Coturnix japonica: one gene and its partners. The protein of the gene in region 1 binds, or shares a complex with, the protein of each later gene. Links are inferred from orthologs where the notes say so. Each region holds a gene or a part of one and is shown in the gene's direction. Other genes may lie near its edges.

Region 1 (4,046 bases):
GGCACCATCAGCACCGGTACCGGTACCGGTACCGTCACGTCACGGTCTCTTACCTTGCTCTTGACCTCGATGACGGTCCCCCCGGCCCCGCCCGGTGCCCGCTGCAGTCTGGCCATGCTGCCCGCGCCGCCCCGTCGCTCCCGCGGCCACGGGGGATTTTCACCGGCCATGACGTCACCGCGGCCCGGCCTGGCGGCGCGCTGCCATTGGTCGAGGCGGGGCTCGGGGGCGGGGCCGTGGGGCGGGAGGAGCGCGATGACAACGTCGCTGTAGCAACGGGGGAGGGACCGGGAGCGGGGGGACCCCGGGAGTGCGGGGTCACGGACACAGCGGTGGGACCGGCAATAAAACAGACGATACGGCTGTGAGAGCCGAGCATGGGCAGCCTGCCCCCAGCGCTGCCTGACGCTCCCGGTGCTGTGCCCAGCAGCACACGGGGAGCAGAGCCGTGCTGCCCCGGGGTTAACGGGTCAGCGCAATGAGGTCAGACACATAATCCCGCTGACAGCGGGGTCAGCGCTGACGCAGGTAACACGGACAGAGGGCACCGGGAGCCCGGCACCTCGGGTCCAATGCACCGGGCTCATTGCCGGGCTCGGTTCCTGCTCTGAGCTGCACCCTGTGCTCAGCGCACTGAGCTGCGCAGCACCGAGACTGCGGCCACCCCATGGTCACCGCTTTGGGCCCGAGGAAGCCGCGCTGCAGGGTGTGGAGCTGGACACAGCACCAAAGCACCGCCATGTCACCGCCATGTCACCGCCATGTCACCGCCATGTCACCGCCATGTCACCGCCATGTCACCGCCATGTCACCGCGGCCCGGTTCAGAGCCCGGCCCGAGGGTATCATATCATCACAGTATCACAGTATCACAGTCTGGTGCGGGTTGGAAGGGACCTTAGAGATCATGGAGTCCAGCACCCGGGATTCGAGGCTCTGTGTAGCAGAGCGGCACTTCTACCACTTGCGCCACAGGGGGATTCGAACCCGGGTCCCGGTGTTGCACCGCGGCCTTCATTGCTCCCACTGCGCTCCGCTGTCCGGCGCTGTCCCGGTTACTATGGCGAAGCGGCGCCGAACACCCGCCGCCCCTCCTCGTTCCTGCACGCGAGGCTGCTTCCCATTGGCCCACGTGTCCGCCCCCTCCTCCCTCTCAGCCAATCGCATGCAGCCACCGCGCCTCTGCGGTCGGGCGGGGCGGAAGTGGGCGGGGCTTGGAAGGAAGCTATATAAAGGGCGGAGGCGGGGGGCCGCCACACACGCGCCATGGCGGAGGAGCTGAGCGTGTCGCTGTTGGTGCGCAGCCCCGCGCGGCGACACCCCGACATGCGGCTCCGCGCAGCGCCCGCGTGGACTGTGAGGCGCCTGAAGGCCGAGCTGCGCCGCAGGGCACCCGGGGAGCCCGTAAGGAGTGCGGGGTGGGGGGGGCGGGATGACGCAACGCCTGGGGGAGGTTGCGGCACCGTGAGACCTTGGGAGCAAGGAGCTGCATGGGGCCTATAGCGGCTGTATGTGCTCTGAGGTGGGGGTCATTCCTTTCTCTGTGTTTTCTTTAGGCTGAGGACGAGCAGAAGTTGATCTACTGCGGGAAGCTGCTGCTGGACCATCAGCTCCTGCAGGAGTTCCTGCCCGGGGTAGGATCAATGCTCCATCCTGTGCTGAAGCGCTCCAATATGGGGGGGCTTCTCTCATGTGTCCTGTGTCTCTCAGCAGGAGGAGCTGCACGCTCTGCACCTGGTCTACAACGTGAGGGCGCCTGTAGATGTACCGGAGAGCAGCACGGAGGTATTTACACTGAGTTATGGCACTGCTTTCAGTGCTGCAGGTGTTTCCTGTTCATGCTGTGATACTCTTGGTGTTTACCCTGTGACAATGTAGTTAAATTAAGCTCAGAAGCAGCTGCTGCCTTGTCCAGTACAGATCTGGATGGCACCTGTTGGGAAGTATCAAAGGTATAGCGTAGTTGTAGTGTGCTGCCTGGGGGAGCGCTGCTGCCTGGCCTGCTTAATGATATAAGGCCTGTCATAGCAAGGCTCTCCCATACAGAGGGTTATGCAGTCAGTTGGGGCAGCTCTCATTGCTGTGTGTGGAAGAAGAGATGTAAAGGAAGATGTGTTACTCAGCTGGCAGAGGGGAAGTTAGGTGGCTGCTCTCATGACTTACTGAAGTGTCACTGTCCAAACTCACTTGTAGTATACGTAGTGACGTTTGTAGAGGTGTTTGTGCTGTCTGGACTGAGCAATTTGAGCTTTTCCTATGTGTGTTGCCAGATATGAGTCACCCTCTGAGTACTATGCAGCTGTATCGCCCCAGAGCAGCTCTTGATTTATGTCTGTGTACTGCAGATGGGTGTGCATGCACTAGTCATGGTAGTTGATAAGTTGGTTTGTCTCGAGCACAGATCCCTTAGTTCTTTTTCAAGTTGTTCTTCCGTAACCAGATGGGACCTGAATGGGGGTGAAGCCATGAAATGCCTGTCACATATGGTGTTGTATGTACGAGTCACTATTAAGGGGCTCTAAAATAGAGATGGAGGTGCTTTGTAGCACAGGATTAAGTGCAGGGACAGTACTGTGGCACCTGCAGGATCCTTGTGAGATGTGAAACAGTTTCTCTAAAATAAGAACTGTGTGCTGAAATAGTTTGAGATTTGCATGGTGTTCTGAACAGCCCCTCAGGTAGTTATGGTTTCCCTACAGGTTAAAGCTGCTCAGCCAAAGCTGACGACAGAAGCTAATCAAGAACCAGCTGCTGCTGCTTCAGATGGTGGACGGCTGGGATGCTCTCCTGGTGGTCAGGCAGCAGCAGCAGAAGCTGGTGCCAGGTAAGTCCATTACTTGATCCTCATAGGCCTGCTTGGGCAGACTGTTGGATGCCAGGCCTAGTATGTGCATTAAGTCCTGTGCAGTGCAGAACAGGCCGGAGGTGCTAAGGATGTATAAAATCCAGTTAATGTGACACTGTTATAATGGCAAATCTTGCTTTTATCCTTTGGGGGAGAGATGTTTTTAGTACTTGAGGGGAGAATTCTTGTTTCAGTGCAGGAAATAGCAGAGGCCATCTGATGTCCTGCAATTAATGGCTCTTGTGGCTTTTCTGGTATTTAACACACGTCATTTAAATTTTCCACAGGCCTGAAACACCTCGGCATGGTTTCCAAGCGGTGCCTCCTGGGTTTTCTCTGTACACAACCTACAGCCTGCTTCAGATGTCCTGGCTTCAACACATCTATGCAAGGCAATACTACATGCAATAGTAAGTCTTCCTGAAGCTGCTAGGGGATGGTAGGAACTAATAGAAGGAAATGCAGAAGATGAAGGACTGCTAGTTTTCTTATGATGCAGTCAGAGGATTTAGTGCTCCACTGTTGTACTCTGCTTTTCTGCAGGGAATTTACTTCTGCTGTGATGTTAGCTCCTTACAGTGTTCTTTGACTGCTTAAAGTTACCCACAGATGGGAAACTGGTCACAGAGTTAAAGCCAAGAGCTGTAGCAGCCTTCCAGAGCACATTCAGATTGATCAGAGCAACTTGTTGTGAAGTTATTACTAATGGGAAGGTGTGTAGTTTGACTTGGAAGTCATGGAAGTTACCACAGGCAGAGCCAGAGCTTGCTTTGGGCCATTGTGAAGCTCAGCCTTTTCTTAAGTTGTATGTGATCTGATTGGTGGTTCTGAACTACTGAGGTGGCCAAGTTCTCAGTGTCTGCTCAGCTTTAAAAGGTTTACACAGCATTTCTCTGCTTTGCAGCTTGGCTTCTACTGCTGCATCTACTGACCCGACCTCCACACGGCGTTCTCAGGAGATCCCAGTGACACCCCCAGCTCCTGTCCCAGACCCATTTCCTGCACAAAACCAACCTGGGGACCAGAATGCTGCTCCTCAAGCCAACGTGGTGGCCAACCAGAACTTAAGGATGAACGCCCAGGGGGGTCCTCTCATGGGGGAAGAGGAGGAAGGTGGCAATCGAGACTGGCTGGACTGGCTCTACTCTGCAACGCTGTTCTATGTTTTTGTCAACATCGTTTATTTCTACTCCAGTGTCAGC
Region 2 (3,619 bases), on another chromosome or scaffold:
TGGCAGCTTGTATTTCTACCTCAGTTTTGTAGGCCAAAAATGATACAGAAGATACGGGAAAGCTGGAGAACAGCTTTATGTGTATCACTTCTGCAAAAATGGTGATTGAAAGAGAATCTTTTTGAGTTACTGTACAGTATATTCGATATTGCTGCTCTTGCAAGAGCCACAAAGTTGCTTACGAGTAGCTTCAGAAACTATTTTTTTCCCCCTGGTGAGCTGTGTGCTGGAGGCCAGGCTGAGCTGTCACGTAAGGCACATCCTCACTGAAGACAAAGACTTCAGGCCAGCTTTGTACTAAAGGGAAGAGCAGATTGTGCTGTACTACCATTCTCTCAATTCCTATCTTTTTTGATCCTGAACAGAGAGGAGAGCGAGTGGTGCGTGCGTGGCTTGTTTTCACGAGGCCCACACCTTTCTATTTAAATAGAAATTATAACTGAGATGGCTCACGGAAAAGTCATCTCCTAAGTACACGTTGCAAGTGCGCCCATTCCACTTATCAGATGTCACATCTGTGGTTTGACTTGTGAAGATACACAGCTGATTCTGAGCTGCAGCTTTGCATTGCTTTGTTAGGGGAGATGGCTGAGAGTTTCAACTGTTTGGTTGAAAGCATTTTGGAACTGCTGAGAAGGCAAACCCTGCTCATGCAAAGGGGGTAAAGTCTCCTTTGCTTGTCTGGTGACTTGCAAACTGCTTTGCAGTTATAAGAGAGCAATGCATTGAGTTCCCATCTCCCTCACCCTGTAATGAAGATAGTTGTATCCATGTGTGTAAGTAGATGATTGTGGAATCCCTTGTGCATCTCTCAAGAATGAGAATGTTCCTAACGATTCTGCAGCTCACTCCATAGACTGTCATGTTGCAAATGTGCTCACAATGCATTTTTTCATAACGAAAAACTGAACAGCAACTTGGAAGGAAACCTCACAGAATCACAGATCACAGAATCACAGAATGACCCGGGTTGGAAGGGACCTCAAGGATCATGTAGTTCCAACCCCCCTGCCTGGCAGGGCCACCAAACATACACATTTACTACATCAGGTTGCCCAGGGCCCCGTCCAACCTGGTCTTGAACACCTCCCAGTGTTAGGAATTGTATTGGGTGGCTCAATGTCACAGAAGCTGAAGAGAATTCCAGCACTAGGAGGGACAAATGAGTTCTGGATGTTGTGTCGTGTTTGGTTTTTTGCTTTGTGGGTTGTTTTTTAAAGTTGTCTTATTTTCAACAGAGACATCTCTAAATTTGCTATGCATTACATAATAGAGGAAATAGATGAAGATACATCCATGGAAGACTTGCAGAAAATGATGATAGTGGCTCTCATCTACAGGTTATTAGTCTGCTTCTACGAGGTAACTACTCCTGCATTTTAACTGCTGTAGTTCATAGTTATCAGTTCTCGGATAAACAACAAAGTATCATCAGTGGCCAATGAAGTAAAGCCCTCTTTACTTGGAGTTCTGTGAAGCTGTGGGCCTCACTTATTTTTGAAGAAAGCCATGTTTGCCATACTAGTCAATAACACTGCTCTGTGTGGAACTGAAGTAAGTTTTCTTTCGCAGATCATCTGTATTTGGGGAGCAGGAGGAGCAACCCCAGGGAAGTTCTTGCTCGGGCTGCGAGTTGTGACGTGTGATACGTCTGTCCTCGTTGCACCCAGCCGTGTGTTAGTCATTCCGTCTTCTAATGTCAGTATGACAACGTAAGTGCTCTTAGCTTACCTTGCTTTTGTATTAATGGGATGGAAAATGTGGTTTGGAAGGAAATGCACCTTTCCTTTATTGTTGGCCTTTGCCGGCATTGGATTGCCAAGAAGTATTCTCAGGTTCTTTCAATATAACAGTTAATTAGTTGTGAATATTTTCCAGGTTAGGTGGTAAGATAATCTCTAAACTCTGGAGGTTGTTGGCTTTGGGGAAAGCAGGGAAGTTGACAATAAAGAAGGCACTGAATGCTTTTATTCTCCTTTCAGGTCTACAATAAGAGCCTTGATCAAGAATTTTTCCATCGCTTCATTTTTTCCTGCGTTCATTACGCTGCTGTTTTTTCAGCACAACAGAACAGCCTACGATATCGTAGCAGGAACTATTGTGGTAAGAAGAAATGGAATCAGATGATAGCAAAAGATGACAGACTCCCAGACTGTTTTTTGAATACCGTTCCCAAATGAACAAAAACCCACCCCAAAACCGAGATGACCATCCGAATCTTTAGCCCAAATGAAAGCAGAACGATTCCCAAGCTAAAGGAAATGGGGTTGCTCCAGTGTGGTGCCAGCAGCTACCTTCAAAGTATTGGAATTCTCACAAATGCCAAAGAATTTTGAGAGAAACGATATTAACCGTAGCTTGAAAACAAGCGGCTGTGTGTTAATAACTGCAGAACGGTGCTGTTCTGTTCGTCATCCTGTGGGGAAAGCGGATACTGAGAAATACTCCATCCACCTCTAAAGAAAAGCTTTGGGTGCTGGAGGTAACTAACTAGAAAATCATGTTTTCCAAGCAGTTGCCTGAGTTGTGTTGCTGGCTCCTTGAGGGGAAGGGAACTGCAGTATTGGAGAGTAAGGTGCGTTCAGTGAGTTACAGTGACAGATGCACAGAAAGAAAGTGGTGTTTATCGCTTCCTTTCTGACTGCTTCACAGATCGTATTCCCTCACCTCTTCAAAGTATTTTATCTGGATATTGATGTGACGGGTTTTATTGCATGATTAAGTATTGTCATTTATTTCACGTGTCAAAGCTAATAATGAGGTGAAATGGTGGCTGCTTTTTCTCTGGAAAGGGCATGTTACACCACAGTGTTAGTCAATTGCCATGTACATCATTTTGGAGCTGTGAACAGCACACATCATTTGCTTCTCTCTGCAGTGAAAGCACTTGTCTATTTCTTGCATATAATATCAAGCAGAACATCTGAATGAGTTTCCAAGAGCATGCAGAAACTATTAACTGAAACATGTGTTATGGGTGTAAGTCTATATAGAAGTACAACTAGTACTTGTTTTCACTTTATCTTCTGGCTAACTGTTTGTATATTCAGAATAACTTAAATACTGAATAAAAAAAGCCTAATATTTTGCATGATTATACACAGCTTTGATTTTTGTTCTTATGGCGTTAGTATCTTGGAGAAAGGGCTTTAATAATGTTAATACTGTGAGTTAGTTTAGTTCGACAAGAGCTGCTATTTTGTTCATGAAGAGAGCTTGCTGCATGTATTTTCTGATCTTTGTTCACTATCTTCTTTCTGGGACCAGAGTCATTACTCACCTTTCCAGAACGAAGTCACTTACCCTTTTTGGCTAATGACTTTCAGATACTCTGCTATAAGCAGTCAGTTGTCTTACCTAGAAACCCAACTTCCAAGTGCATCATCAGAAAATACATATGTACCAAGATGCAAAGAACAGCACTGCTGATCTGAGCATTACGAGCTGAGGAAGGGCTGTCTAAGCTGACAGAAGCTGAAGTTGTTAGAACTGACAAAAGCCATTCTGGGTTGGGTATTGCCTATTTAGATTTTCACCATGAATACAACTAGAACTTTTGTTCTATCTAGAAACTGGGATTCAAGATGGAGGCAGGTAGCACCACAGCTGGGTACAATTT
Region 3 (4,233 bases), on another chromosome or scaffold:
GTCCGTGCACACATTACAACACTGCCTCGCAGGCATCGGTGGTTTCACAGCTGAGTCACCTGGCAGCGTTCGTTGTCTGTAGCCTCAACTGTCAGTCAGGCAATGAGTCTGAAAATAAAAGCAGTCACTTACTGCTAGCTCTGCGCAATTGCTTGTGGTTATCCAGCACCAATACAGGCCACGACATAGCTGAATTAAATAGAGAAAACATTACGTCCCTTCAGTGGATTTCTGTTTCTTAGCATTTATGTCTATTCAGCTTATTTTCAGTAGTGTTTAGCTGCTATGGCCTGGAGCATCTTCCCTATGAGGAGAGACTAAGTGAACTGGGTCTGTTTAGCCTTGAGAAAAGAAGGCTGAGAGGGGACTTGATCCAGGTTTATAAGTACCTGAGGTGTGGGAGCCATAGTGGTGAGGCTGGTCTCTTTTCAGTAGTGCGTGGGGACAGGACTAGGGGTAATGGGATGAAAGTACAGCATAGGAAGTTCTGCACGAATGTGCAGCAAAAGCTCTTTACGGTGAGGGTGACGGAGCACTGGAACAGGCTGCCCAGGGAGGTGGTGGAGTCTCCTTCTCCTGGAGATATTCAAGACCCATCTGGATGCCTACCTGTGTGACATGGTGGAGCCTGCTTTGGCAGGGGGGTTGGACTCGATGATCTCTAGAGGTCCCTTCCAGCCCCTACAATTCTGTGATATATATTTAGTTAAAAACCCCAGTTTCATGTCAGTTACAGGTGCTTCCTCTTTGAGTTGTATAAAATGTAAATGCACCAGCTTCAAAACCAGAGCCCAGAAGAGAATGCTGAACTCTGTACTGCTCCGGTTCATAATAAATCTCACTCTTCTCAACTTACTGCCATTATTCCAATGATCATACTGTTGAGATACCTTCTATCAAAGTATATCCCAGATGTGTTTCTTTTTAACACAGAATTCTATAGTTCTGACTGTGAAATGCTACTGTGCTCCTTCAGGGCAGGACAAGATTTAGTCAGATCCCAGAGCCCTTCTCCCATTGCATAGCAAGGTGGCTCCGGCAAAAGGGAATCTGAGAGCAGAAAGAGGGAGCAGAGAGCAGTCCATCCCCAGGCCTAGTGTGTTCAGTATGACATCACTGCCATCCACGTACACTGGGAATGGTGGGTGGCCACACCGACCTGAAAGGGTAGTCAGGCATTGGGATGCACTGCCCAGGGAGGTGGTGGAGTCACCGACCATGGGAGTGTTCAAGAAACGTATGGATGTGGTGTTGATGAATATGATTTAGCTGGGAAGTATTGGTAATGGTTGGACTAGATGATCTTCTAGGTCTTTTCCAACCTTGATAATTCCGTGATTCTGTAATTCTGTGACCTTCGGCTCAGGCCTCGCGCAGCCAAGAGCCGCTCAGCCCGTCCCCGCTCGCGGGGCGGCTCTGGGGGCGGTGCCTGTCCGGCCGGTGCCTCCCTCCGCCACGTCAGGGGAGTTTCCCGAGGCGGGCCGGGCCGTGCCGTGCCTTCTTCCTGCTCGTTTTCCCCCGGCCCCCGCTACCGGAGACGCTGTGGAGGAAGAGCGTGCCGGCTGTCATGGAGGCCCGCTACAATCTCAAGAGCCCGGGTAGGACGCGGCAGGCCGCCTTCGGGCCGCGGGCTCGGCGGGCGGGCTCGGGGCCGGGCCGGACTGGGGAGGCCGAGAGCTCGCTCGACAAAGGGCAGAGCTGCGGCCCGGCCTCGGCTCCACAGGGGGACGAAGGCCGCCGTGGGAGGGAGGAGAGCGGGCGGGTTGGGGCCGTGCTGCTGATGCCGGCTGTGCAGGGCTGGTCGGCCCGCGGTGCTTGGAGGCGTTGGATGCCTCCTGGAGTGGAGCACGAGTATCTCGGGGCGCTGCCGTGTGTGTGTGTCCACGCCTTTTTATGCTTGTCGTGGTTAGTACGTTGGAACTGCTGCCTGCTGCTGTGCGAACGTGGCTGTGCCCGTGCTACCAGCTGTTCGTTGGCTCCTCGGGCCTGCGCGAGGGGAGGGTCAGGCACTGACGTTGGCCGAGCCTGTGCATTGAAGCTTTTTCCTAAGCTGTTGTAGTGTTTTTATGTGCTGCACCTACATGTGTGTGTATACGTGTGTTTGAGGGGTTCTGCAATACAATTCATGTGTTGACAGCACTAGGCAGTATTTTGAGTCCTTAAGCGAGGAGTGTGCTCAGGTGAGTCACGATACAACACAGTAGGAAGGAGTCTGGGGCTGATAATAGCAGGACAAGGGGAAGTGGATTTAAGTTGAAAGAGGGAAGATTTAGGTTGGATGTTAGGGGGAAGTTCTTCACTAGGAAAGTGGTTAGGTCCTGGAACAGGCTGCCCAGGAAGGTTGCGGATGCCCCGTCCTTGGAGGTGTTCAAGGCCAGGTTGGACGGGGCCCTGGGCAACCTGATCTAGTAAAGGTGTATGTTTGGTGGCCCTGCCAGGCAGGTGGGTTGGAACTACATGATCCTTGAGGTCCCTTCCAACTCGGGTCATTCTGTGATTCTATGTCCTGAGAAACAGCACAGAAAGGGCAGAGGGGGCTCCTTTTCCAGCAAGGGCCCCGAGGCCAGGTGGGCTCCCTCCTGCAGGGCCACACTGGGGCAGTGACCTGTCCGTGGCTGTGTGCCTCTGTGGCTTCTTAAGCAGAGCTTTGGGGATTGTGAGGGCTGGGAGCCTTTCTGTGTCAGTTGCCCTGCCCTGTTGCCCCAGCCCACCTTTGGGCAGCAGGTGTTATCAGCTTCCTGTTGCTGTTGATGAATACTGTTCTATTGCCAGCATGGGAGGTGGGGAGAAACTTAGCATCGAGATGACTTGTGCTTTGCAAATGCAAATGACAGGCTTGTTCACAAAGCATGCCTCGTGTTTATTGCTAAATTATGTTTTCTTTTCTCTCATTGCTCCTCACGCCCAACTTACATAACTGAATAATGAGAAGCACAAAGCAAATGATGTGCTTATTCTATTATAAAATACCAGGAAGGCAGATTTTGGGGGGGGTTGCTTTTTAAGTCTCTGATATGCCGCACATGTGAGCTTCAAGGGCAGGCAAATACACTCACCAGTTCAGGTTTGCCACGTCACTGAAAGCAGTGGTGGTGATGTACCTTGGGATCGTGGCAAATATTTGTGGTTTCATTTAGAAGCATTTGTCCGCTCTGTTGTTACCAGCTTCTCTTATTTTCAAGTGAAAATTCTCTTTACTTACTTGATTTTTTGCCACCTGTGCTGTTGTATTGCAAAACGAACCTCTTTCAGGAAAAATAAATGACTCATACAGTGGGTCGGTGTTGCTTCCCCAGATCAAGCGTGGTCTATAGCATATGGCTGGTGAAAGTCTGGGAAAGTCTGGTAAAGATTTGCTTTTTCAGAAGCCACACTAAATCTTCCTATGAAATTATGAGCAGAAGATATTAAATACCAAAAAGAAATTTCAAGTAAATACTGTTTCTTCAACTATCTTGGTCAACCCCGGGTGATGCTACAGACTTGGGGCAGAGTGACTGGGGAAGACTTTGTAGAGGAAAACAGATCTGGGTGTATTGGTTGATGCTTGGCTGAACACGAGCCAGCAGTGTGCCCAGGTGGCCAAGAAGTCCAATGGCATCCTGGCTTGCATCAGAAATAGTGTTGCCAGCAGGAGCAGGGAAGTGATCATCCCTCTGTACTCAGCTCTGGTGAGGCTGCACCTCGAGTACTGCGTTCAGTTTTTGTCTCTTCCCTGCTAAGAAAGACACCGAGGCCTGAAGAGTGTTTGGAGGAGGGCAGCAAAGCTGTGAGGGCTCTGAAGCACACATGGGGAGTGGCTGAGGGAACTGGGATTGTTTCCTCTGGAGGAGGCTCAGGGGGGGACTTTATCACTCTCTAGAACTACCCAAAGGAACATGGGTGTCAGCCTGTTCTCTTGTGTGCCTGGTGATGGAACAAAAGGGAATGGCCTCAAGTTGCACCAGGGGAAATTCAGGTTGAATATTAGGAAAAATTTACTCTCTGAGAGGGTGATCAGTCACTGCCCAGGGAGGTGGTAGAGTCACCATCCCTGGGGGTGTTTAAGAAGCATTTAGATGTGTGCTCTGGGACATGGTTTAGTGGGAGATGTTGGTGATAGGTGGAAGGTTAGACTGGGTGATCTTAGAGGTTGAAAAAATTTCCCACTCTGTGCTTCAGGCTTCTTTGTATTGCCTCAATAAGGCAAAGCCTCTTCAGCTTTTGCTTCATATTTTTATTTCCGTTCTTGGC

What was found.
Region 2: HERPUD1 (region 1) and FAM8A1 share a complex: the UniProt entries of both Homo sapiens proteins name them as parts of the HRD1 complex. The link is inferred for Coturnix japonica from reciprocal best matches to the Homo sapiens genes HERPUD1 and FAM8A1.
Region 3: HERPUD1 (region 1) and UBE2J1 share a complex: the UniProt entries of both Homo sapiens proteins name them as parts of the HRD1 complex. The link is inferred for Coturnix japonica from reciprocal best matches to the Homo sapiens genes HERPUD1 and UBE2J1.

What each region holds. Positions count from the first base shown.
Region 1 is NC_029526.1:1,860,812-1,864,857, reverse strand, and holds the start of HERPUD1 (homocysteine-responsive endoplasmic reticulum-resident ubiquitin-like domain member 1 protein), read left to right. Parts: upstream 1-1,230; 5' UTR 1,231-1,265; coding exon 1,266-1,403; intron 1,404-1,555; coding exon 1,556-1,633; intron 1,634-1,709; coding exon 1,710-1,784; intron 1,785-2,698; coding exon 2,699-2,823; intron 2,824-3,131; coding exon 3,132-3,254; intron 3,255-3,748; coding exon 3,749-4,046. Other genes in the region: partitioning defective 6 homolog alpha-like, read right to left, coding at 54-170. UniProt on the Homo sapiens protein: Component of the endoplasmic reticulum quality control (ERQC) system also called ER-associated degradation (ERAD) involved in ubiquitin-dependent degradation of misfolded endoplasmic reticulum proteins.
Region 2 is NC_029517.1:66,993,110-66,996,728, reverse strand, and holds the end of FAM8A1 (protein FAM8A1), read left to right. Parts: intron 1-1,238; coding exon 1,239-1,362; intron 1,363-1,572; coding exon 1,573-1,712; intron 1,713-1,982; coding exon 1,983-2,127; 3' UTR 2,128-3,099; downstream 3,100-3,619. UniProt on the Homo sapiens protein: Plays a role in the assembly of the HRD1 complex, a complex involved in the ubiquitin-proteasome-dependent process of ER-associated degradation (ERAD).
Region 3 is NC_029518.1:68,946,956-68,951,188, forward strand, and holds the start of UBE2J1 (ubiquitin-conjugating enzyme E2 J1), read left to right. Parts: upstream 1-1,414; 5' UTR 1,415-1,567; coding exon 1,568-1,598; intron 1,599-1,966; exon of another isoform or gene 1,967-2,180; intron 2,181-4,233. UniProt on the Homo sapiens protein: Catalyzes the covalent attachment of ubiquitin to other proteins. Functions in the selective degradation of misfolded membrane proteins from the endoplasmic reticulum (ERAD) and is essential for cells to recover from ER stress.